Macaca fascicularis: one gene and its partner. Each later gene encodes a partner of the first gene's protein in a complex. Links are inferred from orthologs where the notes say so. Each region holds a gene or a part of one and is shown in the gene's direction. Other genes may lie near its edges.

Region 1 (3,654 bases):
AGAAGCCACAATACCCAAGCCATCCTTGATCTGTGATGGATTGACCTTAGTGCATTGAGAATGGTAATAGCTGTATACCACCCTTACGAAAACAGAGAAAATGTATCTCTGTTCAGATGAGGAAACCCAGTTGAGAAAATCTGGAAATTTTAAACCTCCAGGCAGAGCACCATGTTAAGATGTGGGATGAGTGAGAGGCAGGCCCTTTTATGTAAAGTGGGAGAAGGGCAGTTAAAAGCAGTTATTATACAAGGAGGGGTGGAAAATGTAAACTGGCAGAAATCTGACATGTCCTTAGCTTAGTTTAGGAAAGAGTATCTGTGAGAACTGAGTGTTTTGAAACTGATTCTCCTTTAGCTATTCATGCCCTGGCTTATACCCTCGAGAAAGTATGTACAGGAGTAGTTGTACCCCAATAAGCAGACTGCTCCTTTGAAGCCACATGACTCCATTGAGATAAGAAAAAGGACATTTGGTTTTTATATTTTTATAAGTGTAGGATTTCATAACGAGTAGGATAAATTTAATATAGAAAGGATATTTTCCAAGTTTATGGTTAATCCTTGCCCAAGGCATTTGTAAAAACAGATTCCAGCCATGTCTCAGTTCTTTCCCAGTCAGACTGTCTGGATGGGAACCTGGGAATATGAGTTGTTAACAAGCTTCCCAGATGACTTATACTGTAAGAAGAGTTTGGGAAACACTCAAGTTCTGTATAGTCAGCCCCTGTTTATATACAGTATCAAAGGGAAGAAGACTTGCCAGATATCCTATATATTGTTCAAATCCCCTTAAAACATTACTTGGAATAAGTTCATTGATTTTTAGAGCCTTCTTTGAACACCCTAGATTGTATAGACTTGATTGGGAACAGGATATGAGCTATTTAGAGAGGATTGTTTGTATTTTTTTTTTTTTTAAATTTTTATTTTTTTGAGATGGAGTCTCTCTCTCCCAGGCTGGAGTACAGTGGCACGATCCCGGCTAACTGTAACCACTGCCTCCTGGGTTCAAGTGATTCTTGTGCCTCAGCCTCCCGAGTAGCTTGGGACTACAGGAGCGTGCCACCATGTCTGGCTAATTTTTTGTATGTTTAGTAGAGACAAGGTTTCATCATGTTGGCTATGCTTGTCTTGAACTCCTGAGCTCAGGTGATCTGCCTGCCTCTACCTCCCAAAGTGCTGGGATTACAGGCGTGAGCCACCACACCCAGCCAGCCTGTTTGTATTTATGTTTAACATGGAATGTGTGGGATTTCCAAGTTCTGCCAGTTGGAACAAAATAATACTGGCACATTGGGAAGCTTGAACACAGGAAGAACCTTGGAGTTCAACGGTCTTCTGGTTTGCTTCCTCACACTTCAGGCCTGTGTCTTGTTGAGCCATTTGACCTACCTGAAGCTACAGGTCTTAGATGAATCTTTTCTGTCCCTCTTCCCCCTTCTCATCTTTCTCCCTTCCCTTCCTCTTTTCTTTCCATTTACTTCTCTTCCTCCATCTTCCTTTCCTCCTTCCTCTTCTCTCTCCTCATTTTACCCTTCCTGAGACCCCTTAGCCTTGCCTTCCTGCCCAACTTCCCAGTTCCTTCTGCCTGCCTTTTTGATTCTCATCTTTTCTGATTTGGGGAGAGCTTCTTAGGTCGTAGGTTTAAAACTAAATAGTAAGGGCCAGGCTCAGTGGCTCACGCCTGTAATCCCAGCACTTTGGGAGGCCGAGGTGGGCAGATCACCTGAGGTCAGGAGTTCGAGACCAGCCTGACCAACATGGAGAAACCCTGTCTTTACTAAAAATACAAAATTAGCCAGGCGTGGTGGTGCATGCCTGTAAACCCAGCTACTTGGGAGGCTGAGACAGGAGAATCACTTGAACCTGGGAGGCAGAGGTTGCAGTGAGCTGAGATCGCGCCATTGCAGTCCAGCCTGGGCAATGAGAGCGAAACTCCATCTCAAAAAAAAAAAAAAAAAATTAATAGTAAGTATTATGCCGGGCAGGTGGCTCACGCCTGTAATCTCAGCACTTTGGGAGGCAGATCACTTGAGGTCAAGAGTTCAAGACCAGCCTGGCCAACATGGTGAAACCCCATCTCTATTAAAAATACCAAAAAAAAAAAATTTGCCAGATGTGGCAGGCACCTGTAATCCCAGCTACAGGGAAGGCTGAGGCAGGAGAATCGCTTGAACTCAGGAGGCAGAGGTAGCATTGAGCCAAGATCGCGCCACTGCACTGTAGCCTGGGCAACAGACCAAGACTTCATCTCAAAAAAACAAGCAAGCAAGCAAGCAAACAAACAAACAAAAAACTAAATAGTAAGTACTCTTCAAAGGCTTACCGTCTGTACTGCTAAATTACGTCAGAGCTGGGTTTGCCGGGGACCAGCAGGCTTGCCTGGAACATTGACTATTAAGTAGCATAGTCTCCCAATAATTTTTTTAGGATTGTGTTTAAGAAAATACAAATTCTTGGCCAGATCTCATGGCTCATGCCTGTAATCCCAGAACTTCGGGAGGCCGAGGCGGCTGGATCACTTGAGGTCAAGAATTCGAGACCAGCCTGACCAACATGGGGAAACCGTGACTCTACTAAAATTACAAAAATTAGCCGGGTGTGGTGTTGGGTGCCTGTAATCCCAGCTACTCTGGAGGCTGAGGCAGGAGAATTGCTTGCACCTGGGAGGCGGAGGTTGCAGTGAGCAGAGAGCACGCCACTGCACTCCAGCTTGGGGGACAGAGCAAGACTCCGTCTCAAAAGAAAAAAAAAAAATTCTCTTAGACATTTTTCTTGTACCCTCAAAACTAGGCTCAATGCTAAGGTAATTAATGTAGCAAGTAGAGGTTGAAAACTGGAGCTGGATCATAGAAAAGATTCAGGAGGTCAATCTGCAAGGTATCTCCTATAAGGAAGTAATTTCTCACTCATTTTACTTTTTTTCTTTTATCTTAAGTAAGAATGACATTTTGATGGTCCATTTATAATGCAGTGATTTTTGCATATATATGTTTTATTTGTATATAAAAATGACAGACACTAAGAAATTATGTATCTTTTTTGTGTGGTTTTATAAACATGGTAGCTGTGGATTCAAACTCTCAAACTTTGCAACCAATAACATTGGAATTGAGAAGACGGAAAATATCAAAAGGATGTGAAGTCCCATTAAAACGTCCTCGACTTGACAAAAATTCATGTGAGTTTCCAGTTTGTTTATGTGTGGCTAGAATTTGACATTGTTTGGGTCAGCCTCCTCTATATTCATCCTGTCCCCCATTCCCTATAGGCTCTAATGTTTGTCTCTGGTCACATGAGGTAATGTGAGTAGGATGCAGTTGGATCAGAAGGAGTTTTTGCTAGAAGAAAAATAAATCCCAAAGCACAAACTGTGCTAATGCTGGGTTCTGTGGTATCATCTTCATATCCATAAATCACATTTGATTTGGATGCCACTGGAAATTTAATGGCTTAGGAAGGGATGGGTTTCTATGTAGAGTGAAACTTTAAAAATACTACTTATTGGCCGGGCGCAGTGGCTCATGCCTGTAATCCCAGTAGTTTGGGAGGCTGAGGTGGGTGGATCATCTGAGGTTAGGAGTTTGAGACCAGCCTGGCCAACATGGTGAAACCCTGTCTTTACTAAAAATATAAAAATTAGCTGGGTGTG
Region 2 (3,030 bases), on another chromosome or scaffold:
GCATGAGCCACTGTACCTGGCCATTTTTAAGTGTACAAGTCAGTGGTGGTACGAACATTTACCATGTTATACAGCTATCAATGTTTTCTGTTTCAGAACTTTTTCATCAATCCAAACAGAAACTTTGTATTTTTTAAACAGTAACTCTCTCCTTTCCCTTTCCCCTGTTCCCTACTATTCTCCGTTCCTACTTCGTGTTTCTATGAATTTTCCTGGACATTTTTTTTCTTTCCGAGACAGGGTCTGACTCTGCCACCCAGGTTGGAGTGCAGAGGCTCAATCTCGGCTCACTGCAGCCACTGTGTTCCGGGCTCAAGGGATCTTCCCACCTCAGCAGCCTCTGGAGTAGCTGGGACTACAGGTGTGTGCTGCTGCGCCTGGCTGATTTTTGCAGTTTTTGTAGAGACAGGATTTCACCATGTTGCCCAGGCTGGTCTTGAACTCCTGGGCTCAAGCGATCTGCCTACCTCGGCCTCCCAAAGTGCTGGGATTATAGGTGTGGTGGCCAGAATTGTGTTTTTTAATCCACTATATTGGTCTATGTTTTACACTTGGCAGCAAGAGCTCTCAGTGCTCTTGGATCTTGTTTCATTTGTTGGACGTTCTGGTAAAATTTTTTTTTGATCAAAGGTAGGCTAGGGTTGAGGGAGACAGCAGAGTATTGCTTTAAAGTTTGCTGAAAAACATACCACCTTTATTATTGTTTCCCTTGGTATTGCTGATGGGCTTTTCTCTCTTGTTTTCTAGGACTTGGATGTTGTGGGTGATGGTATGCAGTGTCCTCCTTCACCTTTGCTTTTTGATCCTTCACTAACCCTTGAAGATCATTTAGTCAAAGAAATTGCTGAAGACCCAGTGGATATTTTGGCAAGTCAAGAACAATCCCACCTGTTTCCCGCATGTAGAGACCTGGCCAGGCAGAGGGTTCCCTGCTGGATAGCATGTACTCCTGGAGGGGAGTGGGGTGTCATCACTAGTATAAAGATGCTCCACATGTCTCTCGCTCATTGAATACCATATAAGCAAAGCACTTTTAAAAATGCCCTACTTTGCTCCTGTATACCCTTGTTGCTGTAGTTCTCCAGATAGACTCTTAGAACACCTAATGGCCCCTGATCCTCATATCCCAGAGTAGGACATAAATTTATTTAAATAAAAGCTTGAGATAAGGAATCTAGGTAAACTGTACCTTCTGAGGGAGAGTTCAGCACTGAAATTGTTCTCATTATAGAATGACCAGTAAAGTAGTGTGATTTGAGTTCTGTCTGTGAGCCTTGGGTAGAATTCCAGTGGCCCTGACTGAAAACCAGCAGTTGTACTGTAGCTGTTGGTTTCAAGCAGAGGCCTAAAGGACTGTCTTCCTATGGTCTGTTGGCTGTTCTGGGACCTCAGCAGGGAATGGCTCTTTCATTTGGAAGAAACAACCTACAGCTCTCCAACCCATTGGAAGAGGCTCAGGAGTAGGCTCTTCCAAGGGACAGGGATAGCTAATATAGGGAGGAGCATCTGTCCAGAATTAATTAATTTCTGTTGTATTTTTCTTATTGCTAGTATAAATGGCCACTGATAAGTCAGATTCATACTTCAGACCACAGTGAATGAATTTCTAACTGAAGTGCCTTTATTTCTTTTAACAGGGCCAGATGCAGATGGCTGGAGATGGGTGCAGATCCCAGGGATCTCGAAATTCTGAGAAAGCCTCTGCACCATTGTCTCAGAGTGGATTGGCTACTGCAAATGGGAAGCCAGAACCCACTTCTATTAGTTGATAGTTTGGGGAACCATTTTACTTTGGTGGATTTAAATTTCTCATTCTTCAAAGAAATATTTCTGATCATCTCTCGCAAAACACAGGCAACCCAGACTATCTTGTTTTTCTTCTGGATTGAGTATTATAGTCAAAAGTAAAGCCAAATTTTGAGGACATGGACCAATACTTCTTAAAAGTTGTGGGTTTCTTCCCACTCAGGGCAAGGAAGAGAGATAATCCCTATCAAAGCTTCTGGGATTATTTGGTACTATACCTAAAAGGAAAGTGACATCTTTGTAATGGGATTTCCAAAGTCATGGATAGAAATCCACTTAAGTAGCTAGGTGGGAGCTGTCTTTGTGAGTAGTGTCTTTTAGATACTGATGGCCCTAATATCTGGTTATCTCTATCTAAAGACCTGCAGTTTAACTTTTCTTCACCTCTACTTAATTGGGCAATCTTTAACCTGTTTCCGTGGTGAACTCTGGCTTTTATCCTCTGAGAAAACAGCCCACAGGACTGGGTCCTCCTTATCCATCTTGCTTTTAACCTATGTAAATTTCTGTGGTTGCTATCTTATGTAAAATATAGTACAAATTTATTGTATATAGTTTCTATTAAATGTTAAAGAAAATGTTATGAAAATATCAGACAGTCACCTGAATTGAATGCATGTTTTGTTTGAGAATATAGTCTCTCTTTCGCGGTTTTAGGGACCTGTCTCTGATGGGAAAGGGAAGTTGGGGCAGATAATACTTCCATCCCAGGAAAAAATAAATCTTCAGTAGCTCATTTTGGTTTTGCTTTTAAGGAAGAAGTAAATGAAAAGGGGCAGGACTTATTAAAGCCAATCAGTTCCAAATATCTTCTTTCTACCCTTCCACTCTGTGTCCCCTACTCCCACTCCCATTTCTCACGATTAATGCCAATGTCATCTCTGCTAGGTGTGGTGGCTTACACCTGTAATCCCAGCACTTTGGGAGGCTGAGATAGGTGGATCACTTGAGCTCAGTACTTCCAGACCAGTCTGGGCAACATTCTGAGACCCTGTGTCTATATTTTCAAATTTTAAATAATTATTTAAAAAAACAATAATGCTCATGCCATCTCAAAATTCTCTAATGGTAGGAATATACTTAAAACATAAGAGAAATTGGGCCTGATGCTGGATCACTAAGATAGTAAGGTATTGTCAAGATTGTTTTGACACTGAATCTTAGAGCAGGGTTAAAATAGAAGTTCAGTTGGGGTTGAGGTACCTACACTAGAAATTGTCTATT

Evidence for each region. Proteins that work in one complex are often made in the same cells at the same time.
Region 2: PHF20 (region 1) and KANSL2 share a complex: the UniProt entries of both Homo sapiens proteins name them as parts of the NSL complex. The link is inferred for Macaca fascicularis from reciprocal best matches to the Homo sapiens genes PHF20 and KANSL2.

The regions. Positions count from the first base shown.
Region 1 is NC_088384.1:91,946,752-91,950,405, forward strand, and holds part of PHF20 (PHD finger protein 20), read left to right. Parts: intron 1-3,069; coding exon 3,070-3,183; intron 3,184-3,654. UniProt on the Homo sapiens protein: Methyllysine-binding protein, component of the MOF histone acetyltransferase protein complex.
Region 2 is NC_088385.1:55,461,597-55,464,626, reverse strand, and holds the end of KANSL2 (KAT8 regulatory NSL complex subunit 2), read left to right. Parts: intron 1-747; coding exon 748-867; intron 868-1,289; exon of another isoform or gene 1,290-1,426; intron 1,427-1,637; coding exon 1,638-1,769; 3' UTR 1,770-2,408; downstream 2,409-3,030. UniProt on the Homo sapiens protein: Non-catalytic component of the NSL histone acetyltransferase complex, a multiprotein complex that mediates histone H4 acetylation at 'Lys-5'- and 'Lys-8' (H4K5ac and H4K8ac) at transcription start sites and promotes transcription initiation.